Arabidopsis thaliana: one gene and its partners. The protein of the gene in region 1 interacts with the protein of each later gene in a pairwise test. Each region holds a gene or a part of one and is shown in the gene's direction. Other genes may lie near its edges. The genes, in order: KAN, AT1G01440, AT2G21830 and AT4G39050.

What was found.
Region 2: the proteins of KAN (region 1) and AT1G01440 interact in a two-hybrid assay, tested with the Arabidopsis thaliana proteins (one large-scale study listed by BioGRID).
Region 3: the proteins of KAN (region 1) and AT2G21830 interact in a two-hybrid assay, tested with the Arabidopsis thaliana proteins (one large-scale study listed by BioGRID).
Region 4: the proteins of KAN (region 1) and AT4G39050 interact in a two-hybrid assay, tested with the Arabidopsis thaliana proteins (one large-scale study listed by BioGRID).

What each region holds. Positions count from the first base shown.
Region 1 is NC_003076.8:5,406,253-5,413,885, reverse strand, and holds KAN (Homeodomain-like superfamily protein), read left to right. Parts: upstream 1-2,119; 5' UTR 2,120-2,793; coding exon 2,794-3,523; intron 3,524-3,627; coding exon 3,628-3,704; intron 3,705-4,586; coding exon 4,587-4,632; intron 4,633-5,509; coding exon 5,510-5,657; intron 5,658-6,211; coding exon 6,212-6,320; intron 6,321-6,419; coding exon 6,420-6,521; 3' UTR 6,522-7,023; downstream 7,024-7,633. Other genes in the region: AT5G16550 (voltage-dependent L-type calcium channel subunit), read right to left, coding at 7,245-7,402, 7,512-7,633. UniProt on the Arabidopsis thaliana protein: Transcriptional repressor that regulates lateral organ polarity. Promotes lateral organ abaxial identity by repressing the adaxial regulator ASYMMETRIC LEAVES2 (AS2) in abaxial cells. Required for abaxial identity in both leaves and carpels.
Region 2 is NC_003070.9:158,763-164,755, reverse strand, and holds AT1G01440 (hypothetical protein (DUF3133)), read left to right. Parts: upstream 1-1,802; 5' UTR 1,803-2,269; intron 2,270-2,475; 5' UTR 2,476-2,536; coding exon 2,537-4,188; intron 4,189-4,277; coding exon 4,278-4,338; intron 4,339-4,453; coding exon 4,454-4,677; intron 4,678-4,763; coding exon 4,764-4,821; 3' UTR 4,822-5,128; downstream 5,129-5,993. Other genes in the region: AT1G01450 (Protein kinase superfamily protein), read left to right, coding at 1-651.
Region 3 is NC_003071.7:9,301,753-9,306,637, forward strand, and holds AT2G21830 (Cysteine/Histidine-rich C1 domain family protein), read left to right. Parts: upstream 1-1,960; 5' UTR 1,961-2,068; coding exon 2,069-3,121; intron 3,122-3,198; coding exon 3,199-3,297; intron 3,298-3,390; coding exon 3,391-3,948; 3' UTR 3,949-4,273; downstream 4,274-4,885. Other genes in the region: AT2G21810 (Cysteine/Histidine-rich C1 domain family protein), read left to right, coding at 502-888; AT2G21820 (seed maturation protein), read right to left, coding at 1,231-1,467.
Region 4 is NC_003075.7:18,191,383-18,196,431, forward strand, and holds the start of AT4G39050 (Kinesin motor family protein), read left to right. Parts: upstream 1-1,692; 5' UTR 1,693-2,079; coding exon 2,080-2,405; intron 2,406-2,533; coding exon 2,534-2,631; intron 2,632-2,713; coding exon 2,714-2,803; intron 2,804-2,937; coding exon 2,938-2,990; intron 2,991-3,364; coding exon 3,365-3,430; intron 3,431-3,527; coding exon 3,528-3,581; intron 3,582-3,803; coding exon 3,804-3,863; intron 3,864-4,032; coding exon 4,033-4,111; intron 4,112-4,205; coding exon 4,206-4,273; intron 4,274-4,415; coding exon 4,416-4,472; intron 4,473-4,553; coding exon 4,554-4,658; intron 4,659-5,049.

The sequences.
Region 1 (7,633 bases):
AATGTAGCTCGTTGAGGGACTCATTCAGAAAACGAAAATATGAGTACATTGCTAGGTTTGGAATATAGGAGTTAATGAACTCAATTCCTTGTACCATTAACTAAAGATAAAAGAAATTAAGTGTATCCTAGGAGTTTTAGAAACCTAACTCAAAATTAGGAATGGACCTCATTCAAAAACGTTAGAAGTATAGCTAGGGTTGTTATACTGTTTTTGATTGAAAATGCTTTTTAAATAGATCATAATAGTATCTTGTTTAACTCACATGCAGCAAAACGTCTAAAAACTGCAAGCATACTGTACTTCTTTACTTTCCAATAATTAAAATTTATATCTAATAAGAAAAATATATATTACTGTATAATCAACGAATAAAATCTCACTTATTTAAATTTCCTGATATATAAACATAGTCTTACAATTTATCATATTTTTATTTCAAGGCATTAATGATTTGTCGAGATGTTGTATTGATATGGTCATGTGAGGAGTGAATAGTTTATTTTTTTTCTTAGAAGACAATTTAAAGAAAATTAGAAAAGAGTTATTAAATTGAGAAGGAATATTTGGGAGAATGAAAAGGGAATTAGAAGCAAATATTTAGGTTCTTTAGGGTTCACTTGTTTTTGTTTATTAAGGGAAACAAACAAAATCCACTTTCTGGCTGAGTATTTTCTTAGGTCTAATATATATTTAACTTCACGTATAATCTAAAAGCATGCATGTTACGTTACAATAATTGATCGAATTCTTTATATGACACTTGGTTTATATACGTACGAGGGCACCTTGTATTGTACACACGTATGCATATATGTATGTATTTGAAGAGAAAGATACTTTCTAAGACAATAATTTCCGTACCTTTGGAAGGCAAAACACAGAGTTTATATATTCCAAATTAAAAGTGGGATAAAAAAATATAATAATTCTTTGACAAAAACATACGAATAGTTAAATACTATTCAATTTTGTATATTTTTCATTATTTTTCAGTATGACATATTTCTGTTTCACAGTAGATAAAGTCAACTCCATAATTTTTTTTGTAGAATTATAAACGAACAATGTGAATGTAAAAATGTCGAGTACAAAGAAAACAGAAACACTAGAATGCATACATTATTACATTCGACACAAACAAGTCAAAAATATATATAAATCTGCCTAATTTTATTTCTTTTCAAGTACGTATTTTAAAGCGACATGTATATGACTTCGATTTGGCTCTAATTGATAGACAACACAAAACGGTCAAACAAGTAGCCGGTTGATATTGTAGTCACATCTCTAGGAACTAAATGTCTATACGAGCTATTCATAAACTCAAGAACGTACTGATATTTAATGTATATTTATCTCTTTAGGTATAGTTGAACAATCTACGGTCAGAAACTTGAATTTGTTTGATTCCAAAATCGTATAAGGAATTATTATAATAAGATGTGAATAGAGAGTGAAGTGAGAAGCGAAGAGAGTGGGGGAGAAAATAAAAAAGGAGTCAGAGAGGACACAGTCTCTTTCTCTCTCTCAAGTCTCAACATATGTATCCCGTCGTCTCCGGGGTACCAAAATCAAAGCACTCTCTCTTTTTTTATTTTATTTTTTTTTGGTTATAATGAAACTTTTTATTTATTTTAGAATAGGTCTTGTGTTTGTTTTTTTCTTCTTGTTATTTATTTATTTAATTTAATTTTGGCTTTTGCTTTGACTATAGATTAGATAGGACAGAAGAGAGCGACCCTTTATTCTCTCTCCTCTTGTACTCTTCTCCAACATTTTTAATTATTATTCTTCATGATAATCTGTGAACATTATTATTTTAAAGATCAATTGAGTTTTTGATTTATTACTCAAATTGTTAAGGTTTTAATGGATGATAATCGTATTAATTTTTATTGTTAAAAGTTGTATGCTTTTCATCTATGAAATTGGTCGATTATTAAATACACTTTACATTTGAAAATTTCATCTACTAAATTGATAGAAAACAAGATTTATTTTGCTATTATTCTTCAACTTTATCTATGGAAATCAAAATTTCAGTAGTTTAAACGAATAAACTAAAACATGAAATCAATTAATCTAGCCGTAAAATAATTTATATTATATTGATAGATGGGTTTACTTGTTGAAAGGTGAAAAAGACAAATTGAAATACCATCCCAAAATAAAATAAAAAGCTTCCAATATTTGGAATATAGCGAATGACAATATTACCCTTTCTCAACTATCGTTTTCCAAGATATACTCTCGAGGAACAACATCTCACACATACACATACACATACATGTACATGAACGAACACACATATATCTCTCTCTCTTACCTGTTTTTAATTTTCCTGGATTTAGTTTTATTCCTTTTTTCTCTTCTGCCTTTGCTTCACAACACACATACCTCTCTCTATCTCTCTCTTCCTTCTTTTTCTCTCTCTCTGCGTCTTACTTTGAGCATGTTTGTTTCTTCAAGAAGATCATCACTCAACTTCTCTCTCTTCTTCTAAGCTTCTCTTTAACTTCATCTCTCTCACTTTCTCCTTTCTTTCTGAGATATAGAGAGAGAAAGAGAACAAAAAAAATATCAAATCTTTCAGACACCCTTTTGACTTCTTTGCCTAAAGAATCTCTCTGCTTTCTCTTCTCCTTAGAGAAAATCATTTTAAATTCCTAAGCAAAACCCTCAGGAGAAAAAAAAAACAAAAGAATAGTCATCATCATCATCACCATCATCATCCTTATCATCATCAACAACTTCAGTGGCAGCAATAGCAAGAGAAAGGTTTCTTTAATTATGTCTATGGAAGGTGTTTTTCTAGAGAAAACCAAAACAAACACAACAACTACTCTCCCTGATCTATCTCTCCACATCAGTCTCCCAGATATTCATCAATACCATCACAATGAATCTTCTAAAGAATCTTCAAGAAGATCCTCCCAACTCGAAAACAACAACCGATCGTCCAACTTTGAACTCTCTTTATCTCATCATAACCATCCAACAGCAAGAATCTTCCATTGTCCTGATCGAAGAACCCTTAATCTTCCTCATCAGCAGCATTACAACAACCCTATCATCAATGGTGTTCATCAAAGGGTCGATGAATCCGAGATTAGTAATCTCCACCGTCCAATTAGAGGCATCCCGGTCTATCACAACCGTTCATTCCCTTTCCACCAACAAAACTCTTCATTACCTTCTCTTGGAGGAGGAGACATGGATCAAATCTCAATCTTAAACTCATCTTCCGGCTACAACAACGCTTACCGATCATTACAATCTTCCCCGAGGCTTAAAGGTGTTCCTTTGCATCATCATCATCATCATAATCAGTATGGAGTCGTTGGATCTTCAGATTCGTCTTCTCCTCATCACCATAACCATCATCATCATGGGATGATCAGATCAAGATTCTTGCCTAAGATGCCGACAAAGCGAAGCATGAGAGCTCCAAGGATGCGTTGGACTAGTAGCCTCCACGCGCGGTTTGTTCACGCTGTTGAGCTTCTAGGCGGCCATGAAAGTACACATTTATATCATAATCACATTCTAATGATCATTCCCATTTTTCTTCACTTTATTCTCAAAGTCTTAAATCTTTTATTCTTGTTGTTGTTGTGATTCTAGGAGCAACTCCAAAGTCGGTTCTTGAGCTCATGGATGTAAAAGACTTAACTTTAGCACATGTGAAGAGCCATTTGCAGGTATAATCTATACTCTATTTGAAATTAAATTAGACACAACAAAGAATCAATTTTTATTTGTTAATTTAGGTTTAATCTAGTCGAGTTAGTTCGTTACCAATCAAGATTTTCTATAATTAGGGATATTTCATAGTTTTCATCACCATCATGTCACTCTCTTCTCCTTTGCGTTTTGCACAAAAACAGCTGAATCAAGAAACAAGGTTTTTGTGTACGTATATATCATCAGAGCAATGAATAGAGCTCCAATTCTGATGTGTTACTTTTATTTTCTTGTTTTGTCTTTGCTTTAAGTTTAGTCATATTTTGGAAGAGATGGCACAATTGCCAAGAAAATTGAAGCAGTTGAATGAATTTAAAGAGAGAAAAAGAGAGAGTAGTTATAGCTTTAAGTGACTGAAACCTTTCAGAGAATTATTAAACAATGGAGAATTGAGATGATAGATAGAAGTTATTTTGGATTATAATTCATTTTTTCTTTTTTAAATTAGGAAGAGGGGACAAAAGTAGTCATCATTACTCAATGATAATAATACAATCTTTCTATTACTCAACCTTCTTTCAGACATCAACCTCGTGGTCTTAAAATCATAAATAATTAATTATATATACATCATCAGTTCCAAGACAAACCCAGAAAACCACACATATGTACTACATATATTATTTATTTAATAATATAAAGTTCATATGTGTCTGCATATATCTCTCCAGTTTGTCATCTGTAATTCTGTATCACATTATACAAAAATAAATCTATTTAGTTTATCAGTATCTTTTGTCCGATATTTATTTTGGTTTTTTCCTGTGTCTTTAATTGGATTTATGGTTTATTCTAGTTTTAGAGCTCTCATCATGCCTTTAATTTTTTTTTTTTTGCAGATGTATCGAACTGTTAAGACCACTAACAAGCCTGCTGCTTCATCAGGTACGTGTGATTCCTTTACACACACACACACATATAATGTTATGCATATTCACATTTCTTTAGTATAGCTTTTTTCAGCTTTATATATGCTAAAGAAATGGTACTGGCTTTTAATAAGAAAGATATACAATTCACCAAAAAATAACATAAGACAGATATACAATAAAGCTTAGGATTCTCCACCAGAATTTTATAGAAATGGAGGTCCAATATAATCACTATTATAGCTTTTTTTGACTACAATATTTATAAGAAATTAGTTCTCAATCAGAATTTGAAGCTGTGATTCGATATTTGTATGTATGTAGAGATATAATGACGTGAAATTATTTCTGTTATTTTTACTATTTGATTCTACTATTTCTACTATTCCCTTTCCCCAAAATAATAAAAAACGAGCCCTAAGATATTGGTCAAGCTCAAGGCTTTTATCCTTCCTTTGATTGAACCCTAAAGTTGAGTGGTCAAAGTTCAAAGCAAACCAAACAAACATATATCCCCAATATTGATGTTCTCTAAGAAAAAAAAATCGAGTAAAAGATTAAATTTAAAACGTGTGAAGTGTAAACTCATATCCAAGCAAAGTTCATGAATTAAGAATAAAGAAAAACCACTTGTTTCATATGGATTTTCTTTAACCAATTAAAAGTTTATTTGGCACAATTTTCGAGTCTGTAAAACTATTTTTTGAGACACATATTAGGTTGGTCAACACGAAATGCTGAAATTATTTTTTAAGAAAAACAATTTCTTCACTGCATTGTCTTTTACAAAAAAGCTTACAAGAATCGTTCAGTTTTAAATGAGATTCCTTATAGGGTATAAGTGATTGATTTGAGACAACGAAACTTGATAAAAAGTTAAAATAAAATTTCAGATGGGTCAGGAGAAGAAGAAATGGGCATAAATGGAAACGAAGTTCATCATCAATCATCGACGGATCAAAGGGCACAATCTGATGATACTTCTCTTCATCAAGAAACTGACATTTCTTCCACACAACCTCGTTGGAGTAACTCTTCACGGTACGTTTACGTATATACGTACATGTATTATACACACGATAAGTATATATAAACATTAGGTAAGAATAAGATTGACGAAATTTGAGATAGGGTTTAGGGTTCTCTCACCTAATTGTTCCTACTTCCTACCAAGTAATTCATACGACAATTGTTTGGTTTATCCCACATCTATCCATTTTCTTCTAACAAAAATAGTTTTTAGATGATATTTTAAGTTTGTTTTCGTTCAGTTTAAGGGGAAAAAATTTGAGTGATGGTTTTGGTTACAATGAGATGAAATTGGTTAGGGTTTATGGCTGATGAACTTTAATTATATGTACCAAGTTTTTTTTTTTAATTATAATTTGGTTTGGGTTCTTAAGATTCATCTAGGAAGACTAGGATAAACGAATTTTGCTTCATAAGTATGACATGTAGATTGTGGTCATATAGCAAGTTGCAAAAAAACGCAATTTGTGTGTAGTGATTTTTATTTTATTTTTAGGGCATCTATACATCAATAAATACAATTTGTCCTTAATTTGTTTTCTTTCTTTTCTTAAATCATAAAATAGAGAGACATGGCCATTAAGTAATAACTGCTCAAGCGACATAGATACAATGATCAGAACTTCATCAACATCAATGATCTCTCATTATCAAAGATCCAGCATTCAAAATCAGGTTCTGATAATTCCCATCTAATCATATTTGTATAGATAGATATTGCCTTTCTTAGTGTTTTTTTTGTCCTTTAATCTAATATAAAGTTAAAATTGGCAGGAGCAAAGGTCGAATGATCAAGCAAAGAGGTGTGGAAATCTTAGTTGTGAAAATCCAAGTTTGGAGTTTACATTAGGCAGACCAGATTGGCACGAGAAATGACTTTCTTGATCAATTTGGATTTTTATATATATTGGATTTTTTATTTTTTTGTTTCATCTTTCTCTCTCTATATATACTCAGAAACATGTATGCAGTATATATCTTTGTGACGATGAAATTCTCAGCGTAAAAGAAGGAGAACACGTAGAGAGCCAAGCTGCTCAAGAGTGTTGATTTTTGCACAGAGAGAGAGAATATCACTACCAAAATGAAGAAATTTGGAGGTTCCTCTTCTCAAGTTCCATTGATGATTTGATTATAAAGTGGATGATCAATGTATGAGTTTTTGTTTTTGGGTTTTCGGGTTTTTAGTTTTTTGAGGTTGATCTGGTGGTGTGATCATAAGTTATATAATTGGAAGATCATCAAAATGTGGTGAAAGTTTGGATATTTTTTTGAAAGCCTCTTGGTTGGCTAGAGGGTTTCAAGTTTTTTTTTTTTTTTTTGCAGCCGAAATGTAGAGAGAGGGAGAGATCTGAGTTGAGATTTCATATGGATACTGATCATTATTCTTTCTTAAGTACATAAAACACACAATGTATGCATACATAGATCCAAAAATCCGTAGACATTGATCACAAAATGTTTCAAGTTGCATTTTGAAATATTCTTATCATTCTTTCTCTGCTTCTTCACAACAAACTCCATAGATCATATTTATATCAAGCTTCCATTAACAACCAAAAGTCGGGGTTTATTTACAAACGCGGTAAGGACGGATTCTCAGTTGGTTGATTCGATGTTTACCTCCCGGTCTTGGTGTTGATGACGACTGATAGTGTTACCTGAAATGGCTGATCCCACCACTGAAACCGATTGCTTAGCCAAGCGTAGGCTTCCTCTTGTTCCCAACCACACCGCATAGAAAAACCCAATCCAACCTGATCCAATACCAAATTCATTTCATTCTTCAATACATATAGGAAGTAACTTGGAGTGTCACTCATTACAAGATTCCAAAACAGAATCAGAGCAGAGTATATAACCAACCTGAAGCTATTAAGACAGAAACGACAGCAGAAACTGTAGCGGTAGAGATGACGAATGCAGCAACGGATAAGGCTCCAATGTAAACACCAGTCAAGCAGAGAAAGAAGAGTGCCAAGAAGCCA
Region 2 (5,993 bases), on another chromosome or scaffold:
ATGAGTAGAAACATTAGGGCCGGGGAGAGACCGCTTTTTCCATTTAATTCACCAAAGTTCATAACAAACCTGACAAAACGATGCTGGCATGCTGATCCCAATCAGCGTCCAACTTTCTCATCGATAAGCAGAATTCTCCGGTATATCAAACGGTTTCTAGCTTTGAACCCGGAATGTTACAGTAGTAGCCAACAAGACCCGTCCATTGCGCCTACTGTGGATTACTGCGAGATCGAGACAAAGCTATTGCAGAAGCTTTCTTGGGAATCTACAGAGCTAACCAAAGTTTCACAGGTTCCTTTTCAAATGTTTGCATATAGGGTTGTGGAACGGGCAAAAACGTGTGAAAAGGATAATCTCCGGGAACCATCGGAATCAGGAAGTGAATGGGCTTCGTGTAGCGAGGATGAGGGTGGGGCAGGATCAGATGAGCAGTTGTCATATGCCAAGGAAAGAAGATTGTCATGCTCCTCAAATGATGTTGGTATGAGCAAGAAGCAGGTTTCAAATCTTCTGAAAAGAGCTTCTAGCCTGAAACCAATTCAAAAACCAGGTGAGATTATCATCAGCCAATATATATATATATATATAGGCTCCCTAACAAATATGAACTTGGTTACTTGTACTAATTTTTTTGTTTTGTGTCACTAGCCTTTGGATTCTGTTCAGGGACAACTCCGAGAGGACGATCAAGGCATCCGCCACTAAGCCCTTGTGGTGGGCAAAGCATGAGAGCAAACTCTGAGAGTCAGCTGATATTGATAAGCCCAAGGATACGACGATCAAACTCTGGACATGCCTCTGACTCTGAGCTTTCCTAGTCTGCAGGGAAAAAGAATAGGTTCATAATAGCAAGTTCAAAATGCTGTACAAGTCAAAAGACATACTAACTCGTATGTGGTGACACACACTCCACTACATATCTATCGAAAACGATAAAATTCTTCTTTATTCAAAGTTTCCTACAGATACTACTAGGCTCGTATATTGTTCAGGCTAGTGACTGATTGATTCAGTAGCTACTAGCTACAATATTATCTTAAAGGAAACAAATCATATGAGGCAAAATTATGTGCCTAGACTGTAGAGGCTCAACGCTGAAGTGAAGTAAACTAGGCCTGCTCCACTATTTCTACAATCTATCAAACACCATCAAATTACACTAATCAAATTTTGGGCTTCGAATGTGGATAAAAACATCAAAAATAAGGAACCTTGACTAATCTGCCTGAAAATTACCTTAACAAAAAAGGGGAACAGCGATTCCGCCGGGGACTAGAGACATGGCGTGGTTCGGAGCTTTGGCTCTGTCTCTCGTCAATTTCAATATCTCCGCCACCGCCGACTCCGTCACATCCATCCTCCGACGCTTTTATTATGTCATTGATTGTGATATGACCAAAAAGTCCCCACTCTAGTTTTAGATGAATGAAGCTATGATTTCTTTTTTTTTTTTGGTGATAAGTACGTTATTATGATTTTAATACCAACAGATTTGTCAAATATAACATTATAAGCAAGTGGAGTAAACAAACTAAGCAGCTGATTTGTACAAAAAATACTTTACAGCTATAACATTTGTCATTGTCACCCTAATATAAAATACAATTCCAACAACTAAAATACATCTCTAAACTTTTTAAAGATGATGATGATGAAAAGAATTCAAGTTATGAGCACGTCTGGGAACATGGCACACCATCTATTTTGACAAGATAATATTATACAATACATGTATAAAATACGTACACATTCATCGTTATAAACTAAACCCACCATGGCCATGATGAATAGTGTGTGTAGTTCAAGGTATTGTTGGTTTTGGAGCAGCGAGACACAAATATATCAAAGACCTAATTTGGTACTTTAACTTTCACCTTTCAAATGCAGTTAAATTCGAATCGATCCAACCAATTCATTAGTTACTACTATTTTTATTTTGTTGCATTATTTTTGGTCGTCACGTTATCTCTTGGTCAACTTGACCTGGTAAGACTCATAGTTTCTAGATATGTCAAAATTCTTAAACTCCATTGTCGATCTAATTGTTCCTAGTTGGTAGATTCCCGGGAAAACGAAGCAAGAAAAGTAGAGCTATTGTTCGAAGTCTTTTGATTATTTAAATAAATTCCTCTGAAATTTTCACAAAACTCCTTTAATATTAAAAAATGGCTGCGTCAAAGAGACTAAAAGCTTGATTCTCACCGGAGACGAAGAAATTGCCCAAAAAATATTCATAATACTGACGCCGGAATCACTCTTCTTCGAGGTGCGTTTGATTTTCCTATATCTCTCTGTCTTGTCTTTCCCGTTTTGGATGCTGTGCAATCATGGAAACTCTTGAACTAGTCTCTAGGAAAATTTTAAGATTTGCTCTACCATGTTACTATTCGCGGATTGGAGAAGATTCGATTAGAGAATTTGTTGATAATTTCGGATTTTGTTTGAATTCAAGGATTATTATTTCTGTTGCAGTTTAAACAAGCAAAACCCTAGAAGCTGGTCTTCGTCGGAGAATTTTTGTTTTTTTTTTCCGATGAGGACAAGCGGTGACGTTTATGGAGCAGATACTGGTTCCTCAAGAAGTGATGAAGACAGAGGCTTTAAGGAGGATCTCAATGAATCCGCTACTAGCCCGATGAGAAATCGCCTAGACGATTCGAATTCACGACCTGGTTCTCAGAGATTCGTCAAGAGCTCGAGAAAGGAGGAAGAGACTGATTCAGATTCTTCTTCTTCTAAGAACACAACCACCAGAAACAACCCAATTCAGTACACTGATAAACAACAAGCCGAGCTTTTGAGAAAGCTTGATTCTATTAAAGATCATCTTCTCCGTGGTGGAGGTAATAATGCTACTGTTGTTGATCAGCCACCAATGGGTTTCCATGCCCATCATGGACCTCCTCCTTCTTATTACAATCCATACCCTGAGCCATTTCCTTATGGAATGTATCCTACCGCGAGTAACCAACCTCATGTTCCAGCTTATAGAGACCCTTATGGATTCCCAGTGCATAGGATACCTCAAAACTTTTATCAAGGACCAAGTCATTACCCTAATCAGATGCCGCCTCGTCCACCCTATCCTCAAGGACAGTATGTAGACATTGGCTCTGATATACTTGAGTCACAGTTACAGGACCCTAGATTCTTTCCGGGTACGCCAAGTAGGTATGGTGATGTCCCATTTAGCCCGGCTTTGCACCACGGTGAGAAAGTTGGACCCTTTAGTCCACATGGTGGTGTTCACACGAGGTGGCCTAGTGAAATTGATTCTGAAATGGGTGGTGCTTTTGCTCGTGGGTATGTTCAACAAGCTGTGTCTGATACTGATTCACGTCGTTGCCATCCTCTAGCAGGCGGTGCGCCTTTTATTGCTTGTCACAGTTGCTTTGAGCTGCTATATGTGCCTAAGAAGAAGCTTCTTGGTCAGGAAAGGCAACAAAAGATGCAATGTGGTGCTTGTTCTGAGGTTATCACGTTCAGAGTTGTTGATAAGAAGCTTGTTTTCTCATCTTCTGCCCTGGGGGAAACTACGAACCGGGTTTCTGTAGAGGTTGAAGATAGAAGCTCACCAATCCCTGTGGTAGATGATTATCCACTCAATGATGAAGAACCAAGAATACACCAGGAAACGAAAATTGTCCATGCTGTATCGCCTAGTGATCACTCAAACGATGAAGACAGGTCAAGCATTTCTAGTGAGCCGCGGAAACAGGTCGTCAAGTCTGTTCGCAGCAGAGCCCAAGGCGCGAAGGTTCCTCCTCCTCCTCCTCCGGAAAAGTCCAATCTTCTTGAGCTCTTTGAGTATTCTAATGTAAACCGAGCTGCAATCACTTACGGAATGGCGCAGTTAGGGTACTATAAGCAAGAATCATACACGAAACAAGACTCCCTGAAATCAGAATCAGTAGCTACTGAGACAGATGTTTCTTATAATGAGTACTATACTAACACCGAGGAGTCTGAAGATTCAAGGATCTCAAAAGCCAGCAAAGAAGGGAGACGACCAAGAAACCGAAAGCAGAGTAGTGAGCACAGTTTCGCAGAGGTCACAAATAATATCAGTTCTAACGACCAAAACAACGAGCAGCTAGAGGTTTGGGTGAATGGGTATCTGATACCAGAAGATCTGGTTATTAGCGCTGAGAAACAAGCTGGGCCAGTTCAAGCTGGCAAATACTGGTATGTTTGGGGTTACGTTTTGATAAATCTACGTCAAAAGAATTGATCAGTCGTTCAAGAAACCATCTTTATGTTATGATTCTGACCAGGTATGATTACCGTGCTGGATTCTGGGGAGTGATGGGAAACCCTTGTCTCGGTATAATACCAGTAAGAACTTTCACATCTCTTCTATATTGCTTTGAATTCCAGTACACTGTTTCATAATTCTTTGTATTGATTGGTACTTGATGAGGAAATGGGAAACAATTGTTGGTTGATGCAGCCATTTATAGAGGAGTTTAGTCGACCAATGCCGGATAACTGCGGTGCAGGAAACACGAGTGTGTTTGTAAACGGAAGAGAGCTTCACGAGAGAGACCTAGAGTTACTATCAAGTAGAGGTCTTCCTCGAGGCAAGAACCGTTCTTACATCATTGATATAGCAGGAAGAGTTCTTGATGGAGACTCTGGTGAAGAACTTAAGAGTCTTGGCAGATTAGCTCCAACGTAAGCACAACACAATTCCATGTAATCAAATTTTTACATCAATCATTTAGTTGATTCTGAAATTTTATGGTTGAAAATTGAATCAGGGTTGACAAGGTGAAGCATGGATTTGGCATGAGGGTTCCAAGATCATTAGTCTCGTGAAGCTTCGTCAGCTTTGTTTTGACCTCTCTGATTTGTAAATTATTCTTTGTGATTGATATATAACACATCTTTGCTTATATTCTGACCCAAAACTTATTTGCTATTCTGTTTTTGGGTTTAGTTTCTTTTTTGGGGGTTCTCTTACAATGTTCCATTCTTTCTCTTACTTTTTTTTTTTTTGTCTAAGAGATAAACCGTATGGTTTTATATCTTGTGATCTGGTTTATGTAAATTGATCATTTTTTATTGTGGATAACCTGTTGCCTGTTGGGAAATAAAATAATATTTGTTTGATTTTGTGACAAAAGATAAATGTATATATTTATAGATCTGTCCAGGCTGTGTGTACTTGTTAAATCGTTTTCAAGAAAGAAAACACACTGGTATGGTAGATCCAAAATCAACTTCAAGTAAGATGGGTCCACGTAGCAAATATTTAAAGCCCATGGAATAATTTATTCACAATGGGCCTCGTGGTCGTGGTGTACCCTACTCCATATAAAAAAACAGAGTCGATAATCTAGTCTGTCTAAAACGACTAATTCATGTCTAAAGATTAGTTTATGTTTTAAATCACCGAGAACTAATTCTACCGTCTAGATAGAACGATTTTTTTTTTTTCTCTAGATAGAACGTTTAAAACAAAATTAGCATGAAAATTACCACGGTTATCAGAAGACAAAATATATTTTTTCGTCTAATTAGATGTGTAAAGCATAAACTAGATACTAATTTATATACTCACAAGTAGTTTTAGTTACAAGTTTCAACCATTAAATCTAAGTGCGAGGTCTCTGTCTTTAGTTGAAAAAAGAGAGAGAGAACAAGTCTCTATCTTTGCTCCTGATAAGTGATAATTAATCAATAAATACTGTAGGACCATCCTTATCGAGTTTCGTTTGATAGACACTACAAATACAAACTAATCACCTAATTTCCATAAATGTAGAGATTACTGTAATCCTGTCTACGTTGGAAATAATTAATGGTACCATGTCACCCGTAATAGCAATGGCTTAATCATGTTTAAAGAGACAACAAGTACACGATTCGCGCTTTACAGTTGTATAATTGTAACTTTAAAAACAATTATGGATGCCTAATCATTAGATTATTTTCTTCTTCTGAATATCTCTCCACAAATTAAATGAAGCCACGACCGACATAAACAA
Region 3 (4,885 bases), on another chromosome or scaffold:
GAGAACATCAAATAGGTTCTTAACTTTCTATGTCAAACAAAACAGAAGAATGATTGTGTCTGAGATTTTTTTTTGTATATGCATGCAAAGTTCATTATGTTGTTTGAAGTCTTTAATGTGTGTAGTCCTGACTCGTTTTCTAAAGAGTAAAGATAATGATATATTTTCTGGCAAGTGGTTTTGAGTGCTTGACTTGTAGAGTTGCAATTCTGTTTTCTTCTTTTCATTACAATTCTGTTTTCTTCTTTTCTTTTCTTATTGATGATGAAAAGCTACTCATACTCATAATCAACAGGAAAAGCCTTCGCCGTTGTACTTGAAAGTTTTGTATTCTTCTAGCAAAGTTACCATGAGATCAATAGATCAAGAAACCTCTGGAACCAACAACTTGGAAAACAAACTACAGTATGACTTTTACATAATCAATCACGCTCATGAAAACTAAAAACACTTTTTCTCGTTTTGGCTAATTGCTTCAGGTAGGTTAATGATATATGGCATATGCATGTTATGAAACCAGTCCTCATGAGTGCTCTTGATAAATATCCATATTGCAAGATATGTGGAGGAAACATACTTGGTAACCCATGGAAATGTGAGACCTGCCGCTTCGAGACACATCAGTACTGTGTGGAGTTGGGGCGACCATCAAGACATCGATTTCATCAGAACCATCCTTTGACACTGTTGACAAAGTATCCTTCACAGGAAAAGATGAAATGTGACATTTGCAGAGAGAATATATACGATTTCAATCTCTTCTGCCGTATATGTACTTTTGTTATCCACATCAACTGTGCCTTGAAAAGTAAACATGTTCTTGAAGCTTTAAGGCAGAAATTCACTGGAACTTGGAGTTTTTGTTTGGGAAAGCTGTGTCATGTATGACGTGTGAAGAGATATATCATCCTGTGTATTGAGAGCTACCATACTGGTTCTGTCTCAGGATTCAACACATGTTATTTCCTTGTGTTGTTATAAGTTTAGGTGTTTTACTCTTGGTTGGTTTTGTGAAGGTCCTATTTGATCTTGCTTCTCTGTTTTTTCATACACAGATCCTATTGGTTTTTTAAGAGGACACAGTTTGATTTGGTTCATAATAAAGAGTCTGAATGTTAGGTTTCATTGTTTTCTCATAAAAGACTTTTATTGATTAGTTTTCTACTCAAAACATGTTTTTAATATTACATGACTATGACAGGACCGTATCTGAACATATTTTACAGAGACCTAGCCGGTACCGGTAACACCAAGATCCTGCTTCTTGTCGTCTTTACCAGCACCAAAGACAGGTCCGCCAAGACCAGCAGCATCAGAGACCTTGTCTTGAAGCTTGTCAACTTGAATCCCACCTTCGTCTTCCTTTGACCTTATATCAAGCTTCGTCTTGTTCTGTCCTCCTTCCACTGACTCGTACGTTGTCGCCGTTCTTGAATCCATCGGCTCTGCTCCTTGTGCTCCCGACATCGTTGATGATACCGATCCTTCTTAACTCATTTTCCCCTTTTGTCCACAAAACTTATTTATGCCCTCAAGCCATGGTCTTAAAACCTGCCACCTTGCCAAGACGTGGCAGTTCTTCAGAAGTCTAGACCTATCTTGTTGGTCACGTGTCGTAAGTTAGCCAAAAGAAGTCGTCTTTGACCCTTATCATCTGTTGGATTTATGCTTCTTGATATGTTATCGAACATGCTTATGAATAAAGAACTGTCTAGTGAAAGGTACTTCACACTGAGAAGACTCTTCATCAATTTTTAAGTTTCATATTCAATAACAATTTTAAGTATCATTATTACTTCAATTACCATAATGATACCAAAAAAAAAAAAATGGGCTCAATAGAATCCAATTAAGCATGGTCAGTAAACGAAATAAAAAATATTAAATTTTCCAACCACACCACGTTGAGAAACAATTATTGAGCCACTAATTTATTACTCTCTCTCTCTCTGTCGACCTCACAATTAGTTATGCTTTTGGGATTTTGAATCATGAAGGTTCTTTGATCAAGATTACTGTGTTATCTAATGGTACTCTTAGATCAAGATTCCAATCTTGCTTCTTCCCCATGGGAAAACTCGAGCATTTCTCCCACTCATGCCCTTTGACCTCGCCGGAGATTGTAGCTGAAGGCATCTGCAACATTTGCTTCCAAGACCAAGTTGTTGAATACGCATGTAAGCCTTGCAATTTTGATATATGTAAGACTTGCTCCAAGCTGCCGCAAAAGGTGTCACATGGTTTTCACTCAGATCATCCTCTTGAGTTTTCTCTATTCCAATATGATCGAAAACCTGGTTACATTGTCTGCTCTTGTTGTGGGAACATGTCTTCTTGCTCATTCTATGAATGTAAAGAATGTGAGATCTATCTTGATCTCGGTTGTGCACTACTGAAGAACGTTTTCACTGGTTGGGACGTTAGAGAAATGCTTCATTACAGTCATGAACATTTGCTTCGAAGGTGTAAACCAGGACAAGATGCTAGAGGCTCTTGCCTGCTTTGTGAGCTCCCTCTTTCTCCCTCTTCTATATGTTACGGTTGTGTTTACTGTTACTCGTTTCTCCACGAGCGCTGTCTCGATCTTCCGACAGAGATTCGACATCCCGTGCATCTGGAACACCCTCTCAGACGCCTTGATTACATACGAAGTGGTGGTCGAACATTTTGCGGTGCGTGTAGAGAGAAGATTGACAGTGTCCCCTTTGGCTGCCTAGAATGTGGTTTTTACATTCACATGAGGTGTGCAGATTCGTTTTTGCGCTGTCTGATGCATGAATCTCATGAGCATAAATTGTTTTATGTATCTTCGAATGCTAAAGAACATTTTGGAAGAAACAATTGTTGCCAAATATGCTTGGGAGCTGTAGTGAGCTCTCTCGATTCTTACTACCACTGCATCGAATGTGAATTGGAGTTTCATTTCGAATGCCTTGGGATTTCCAAGACCATTTCTAAGAGATCTTGTCACATTCATCCACTTGTTTGTAAAAGAGTACGTGAAGAGGATGATTCTTTGGAGTACTGTGGCGTTTGCGAGACATTGATTCATGCCGGACATCATGTTTATTCGTGCGAAGAATGTGATTTTCTTGGTCACATTGAATGCATTCTACGCGAGGTAATCAATATCGTTTTTGTGTTTTTTTGTTTCTTAATAATGATGCAATGCTGATGATCTATATCTACAAACTACAGAAAGAGCCATCACCATTGTACTTGAAGGATCTGTATTCTTGTGTTGAAGACGTCAAAAGAGCAACAAACCAAGAAGACTATGAAACCAACAAAGTTATGGTATGGCTTTATAATTATCTATCAGTGGAAGAAAAGTATGAACATCATTTTAAGCCAGCCTTTTGTCTCAAACGTGTAAGGTATATGTTGCAGGTTCATGATATCAACCATAATCATGTGGTGACATCGATTGATATGTGTGAGCTTGAAGGCAAAGAACATTGTCACATATGTGAAAAAGAAATACTTGGTAATCCATGGAAATGCGAGACTTGCAACTTTGTGACACATAACTTCTGTGTGGAGCTAGGGAAACCATCAAGACATCGGTTTCATTGGAACCATCTTTTGACACTCATGCCAAAACCAGTTGCTACGGATATGACGAGTTGTAAAAGCTGCAGAGAGGATATAAAAGGGTTCAATCTATTTTGTCGAATATGCAATTTTATTATCCACGTCAGTTGCGCCATGAAAGGTAAACGTTTTCTTGGGATGACAGGACCGAAAGTCGTTGGAACTTGGAGAGGACGTTGTTTGGGAGGCAAGCATAGAATGGTCCAAGTTATGTTCCCGAGGTCATATCAAAAAGTTTGTATTATTTGTCATGAGAGGGTGCTTGGGAAGGCTGTGTCATGTATGGAGTGTGAAACGATTTATCATCTTCGGTGTATTGACCGACATCGTATCAAAGACCGTGATTCTTCGTAGTTAGGTTGTTCCTCCTCTGAAACTAAGTTCTGCAACTTCTTGTTATGTTATATACCTCTAAAATTTTGTCGGTTAGTAAATCATGTTTGTAATATGTTTATTTGCTCTGTTTATTTCTTGTTCTGTTTTCTTTGTTTTTGGCACACTATGTATTTTCAATCCTCTGTTTTGGATTCCATTATCGTTTTTCCAGTTCCAATGGTGTTTTTCTTATGTAATCTTGGTGACATAATACACAAAGTTCAGTGTTTCCATTGGAAAAGCCAGCGGCCCCTGCAGGTGCAGGAGTTGTTATGAATTGTAACATTTGCATGAATGATATAGAAGGGTTCAATCTCTTCTGTCGCCTATGCAATTTTATCACCCATACTATACTAGTCATAGGTCACCAATATATTGTCTGCTCTGGTTGTGGGAATATGTATTCTTGCTCATTTTACGAACGTGAGGTCTATCTTGATCTTGGTTGTGCCTACTGAAGAACATTATCACAAGTTGTTAGAGAAATGCTTCAGTACAGTCATGAACATTTGCTTCGAAGGTGTAGACCAGGACAAGACGCTAGAGGCTCTTGCCTGCTTTGTGAGCTCCCTTTGTCTCCCTCTTATACATGCTACGGTTGTGTTTCCTGTTACTTGTTTCTCCACGAGCGTTGCATTGATCTTCCAACAGAGAGTCAACATCGCGTGCATCCGAAACACCCTCTTAGAGGCCTTGATTACATATGAAGTGGTGGTCGAACATTTTGTGGTGCGTGTAGGGACAAGATTGAAAGTGTCCCGTTTGGTTGTCTAGAATGCGGTTTTTACATTCACATGAGGTGTGCAGATTCTTTATTGCGCAGTCTGATGCAATGAAACGGAAAGTTTCAGGAATATTTCCAACCAACTAACAAACAAGTCTTCCGCTGTTTCATGACAAAGCTCCTTCCCTCGAA
Region 4 (5,049 bases), on another chromosome or scaffold:
TATTATTTAGGACACGCAAGATTCCACATGATACTGCTTAAGCACTACGTCGAGCTAAAATGAAATACTCGATTTAAATGAACTACCCCATTAGTTACTTGAAGATGAAACGAAACAATTTGGTTTTGGTCTTTTGGATCATATAGTTAAACGTTATGTATCTTACTCAGTTTATTTTAATGAAGTTTGTTGTTTGGTATATCAATTAGCCTTAGATGTCAAATCAAAACGAAACAAAAACATGAAAATTCAATTTGGCGTTAAATCAAAATAATAATTAATATTCCATGGATAATTAATATACACTTAGCAAATTACCGAAGTACCCTTGCTATCTCGTTGTCGTCAATAATCAAAATTACAGTATTAACCCAATTAAGAGCGTTTAGCGTCTACGTGTAAAGCGGTATCAGGAGAAAGGAGCAGCGATCACATGGGTGGCTTAAATCTATATCCTCCGGTTCCTCACCGGCCAATTATTCTCGCGCGTGTCTCCGCTCCTCTCTGATGCGCGTCACTCAAAAAGTTTGAGTCAAACTCCAGTAATATTTTTGATTTATTTTGTATTTTCAAGAATTTCTTAAAAATTGCTGTTACGTAATTTACAATGCAATGTCTCGCGGTAAAGGTAGAGCCGGAACTCAAGTCAGATCAATCTCCGTGTATGATTGTGTTCGCATCCAATGTTAATAATTTCAGGATTTGTATTTTCCAAGTTAAAGGATACTATTGTTAACTAACGTATATGCTGACAAAAAAAATAAAAAAATAACGAATATTATAAATTTATATCAGTCGCATAATGAAATGTGTAATTTCACCCAGACAAAAATATCTCTACAGAACAAAAAAAAAACGTTTGTTATATATGTTTATTCTGTATATTTAAAATGTAGTCTAACGTTTGTTCTATATGTCTACAATGTGTATTTATATTTAAAACATATTCCATCCTTAATTTGCTTTATATTATTGTTACACCATTCATAGTAATGGAAGAAATATCTATTGGCATTCTATACTTTATGATATATATATATATATGAACCAAAGTATTGTATGTCCAACTGGGACATTTTATATGACGGCGGACGAATAAAGCTTAGCAGATATATATGTACGTGCTGGTAACTCCATATTCATTATTTTGGATTTAAGTTGTAACTCCATACACAATACACATTGATGGATTAGCATTGCATTTTTTTTATGGCATTTTATATCAAAAGATTCTCAATCAAAACTTAGATAGATTCCTAAAGCTTGTAATTAAAGCATCAAACATATTTGTTAACCAGTTATTATTTTTGAAATCGAGTAGTGTTTTGTTGATGCTACATATTATTCCATCATAAAAAGAAAATTAATGTGTGTGTAAGTGTGTTTGAAATAAGTCAATATCTTAGTACAGTAATTAACTAATTATACGAAGAAGAACTATAAGGGTAAAAACGGTAATTACAGTATTTGGTCAGCCATAGTTATTCCCGCTCGTCTCTTGAAAAAAATTCAAACCGGTAAACCATTTTGGTCATACACGTTACAGTAACACGGTGGTCTGGTCTTCAATAATAACCACGTCAGCAGCATACAGTAAAAACTACTTTAAATGTTTTTTTTTATTCTCACCCAAGAAAATAATTTATTTTTGTTTTGTCGTTCTCCTTCCTAAATAATTTTTCAACTACCACAATTAATTTAAAAATTAAAAATAGAGTATATTTGGAAAGGCACAAAAAAAAGAAACAAAATTCAAAATCTGAAATTTCTCAGCCTCCTCGTTTCTTCACCCAGAGGAGAGAGAAATCTGAGGAATTCGATCTTCGCTTAAAGAAGACGAAACAATCTCTCTCTCTTTCTCTCTTCAATGGTCTCACCATCTCTGTCTACCATCTCCTAGCCAAAGAAGAAGACGAGAAGAAGAAGAGAGGGTCACAACAATGCTTTATTCTTCTTATGTCTCCAGCCATGTGAGCTCCCACTGACACATTCTCTGCATCTTCGGAAGTTTTGTTTTGGTTTGATTCTTCTCACCGATTCCTGCGACCGAGTTTGACCCTCGAGTTTCGAGGTTAGTGGATGGCTTCATCCTCATCGAGAACTAGAAGCAGTAGACCTCCAAGTCCCGCTTCTTCCACTTCTTCTTCTCATCTCAGCAACCGTCTCATTCCTCGTTCTAACTCTACCTCTGCTTCCTCATTGATTACCTCCGCCGCCGGAATCGCCTCCCGATCTATGACGCCTAGTCGCACCTTCTCCGACTCGGGCCTTATCGGCTCCGGCAGCTTTGGAATTGGATCGCCTGTTCCCTACCCGTCAGAGGAGCTTCTCGGTGACCCTATGGACGATACTATTAGCTCTGAGCGGGATAGTATCTCCGTCACCGTTCGTTTTCGTCCGTTGAGGTATGCTAGATCTGATCTCGCCATGGACCAGATCTATTGCAGAGATTACAGTTTTCATGTAGATGCAATTGGAGTCAATTCTTTATTGGGGTTTGCAAATTCAAGTTTTTATCTTTGTGGGTTTGCAGTGATAGAGAGTATCAAAGAGGAGATGAAGTTGCTTGGTACCCTGATGGTGATACATTGGTTAGGCACGAGTATAACCCACTCACAGCTTACGCATTTGGTATTTGGTTCACCTCTCAATTATTCTGAATGTTTTCTTGTAATCATTGAGTGAATGTTTTCCAAATTTGTTTTGATGCCAGATAAAGTTTTTGGACCACAGGCAACTACTATTGACGTTTATGATGTAGCTGCGAGACCAGTAGTCAAGGCAGCAATGGAAGGTGTTAACGGTAAGTAACATTGCTGCAAAATTCAGCTTTACCAAAATCTGTATCTTTTATATAGAAATATCCTCTAAACCAATTGGTCCGCAAGTAGTATTGCTTGCAACATATTTTCTGACTCAGGGTTGGAATTTTGACAGGAACCGTTTTTGCTTACGGTGTTACTAGCAGTGGAAAGACACATACAATGCATGTAAGGGTTTTAAAAAAGAAGAATCCTTATACGCCTTTCTCTCTAGTTTTTCTTCAAAACACATGTGCTATGAATTGGGATCTCTTCTTCAACTTGGTCCCCCTTTGGTATCTGCTGGTTATTCTGGGTTACTCTAAACATTTACATGGTAGCAAAAGATACCATACAAATACCAACTTGCCATCATTAATTGGTGATGGTTATGTGAGTTGGAAATCCTCGTATGAATGGAATTTGAAGGTCTTCATTTAGATTGGCTGTGCTTATCTTTAGTGAAGTAGCTACGTTGGGTCTTTAGTTCCCGTCCAAACAAGTAGAACCTAAATCTGATGTTCTTTTTGTTCTGCCATTGGTTGCTTTTGCAATATGCATAGGGTGATCAAGAATCTCCTGGGATCATACCGCTAGCAATAAAAGACGTGTTCAGTATCATCCAGGATGTAAGTGGTCTTAACGGGGTTCATGTCTTTTCTCATCTCATCACGACTTTTTTATATGATTTCATGCTCGCTAACTGGCTACATTTTTATATTTCAGACTCCAGGAAGGGAGTTCCTGCTCCGTGTTTCATATCTTGAAATATACAATGAGGTAAGTGGAACTTTTTATCCTTGATATATTTACTTGGTAATCCCTGAAAAGTAGATATTTTTAGATTGGGATATGTTTTCTAGTTCTTCTGCCTTATCTTTGAGAACTAGAATGCTTAAAAATATAGAGAATTGGGTGACTGTTCATGATCTTCTTGGTTTTACATGTGTGCTTCTATGTTTCAGATATCCGCAGTTTATCTGATAACCGTCTTTGTATCAGGTGATAAATGATTTACTGGATCCAACAGGCCAAAACTTACGTGTTAGAGAGGATTCCCAGGTTTGCTTCAACCTCTATAGAATGCTTGGCTTTCTCCCATTTCTCTCTCACACACGCACACACATTGTGCTCTACTAGAATAAATGTGAACAAATTAGCTTAGAATCACATGTGAATTTGATATCATTTGAGAAAAGATATTGATTCGTTTTGCGTTTTGTTTTTCTAGGGCACTTATGTTGAGGGTATCAAGGAAGAAGTTGTTTTGTCTCCTGGCCATGCACTATCATTCATTGCAGCTGGGGAAGGTTATTAGATAATTTAACCCCTGAAACATGTTTTGATTTTGTCAACTCTGTCCTTCCCGCCTCTACTTAACATTGCTGTTGTTTTTAATTGCAGAACATCGTCATGTTGGTTCAAATAATTTCAATTTGTTGAGCAGCAGAAGTCACACTATATTTACACTGGTACGTCTTCATGCTCCAAGCTCCAAGAGCTTGTCATATTGTAATTTGTAGCCTCTTTTCAGTGTCTCGGCATGATGTTTTGCTCTTACAAGGTGTCCTTACAATGTACATGTTTTGAAGTCTAATTTGTATGTGTTTGCAGATGGTTGAAAGTAGTGCTACTGGAGATGAATATGATGGAGTTATCTTTTCTCAACTCGTAAGGGCCTCTTTCTTTTTGTTATTGTATAAGATCAATTAGTTTTGAAAATGGGACCTAACTGTATATTTTCTTGTTTAGAATTTGATTGACTTAGCTGGATCTGAGAGTTCGAAAACTGAAACAACTGGATTGAGGAGGAAGGAGGGTTCATACATCAACAAGAGTCTTCTAACTCTTGGAACTGTAGGTGTCTATTTTTGATTCGAGCTATCTTTCTATTTTTCATCTGTTTCTTTAGACATTTAAGGTTGGCATGTCCATCAGAAGCTTTGTTACTGAATAATGATGAACTTGCTTACAGGAGTAACTCAATTAGTTTCCACATTCCATTGTTGGCATTAGATAATCAGAAAGGAGTATGCAGTTGTGATGGGAATATACTTGGGATTTTCAGTACTTTTTTTTCTTGATGTAGTGCTGCTAGTACTTCTTGATCGATGTTTGATGTTCTGATAAGTAGTCTGTTGCCCTTATTATACTTTATGCCTGTCGGTGGTAGCATCTTCAGTCACTTAAACCTTTGAGATGGTAGGGCGTTTTACTTATAATTATCTCTTGTGGTTTCATTTATGAA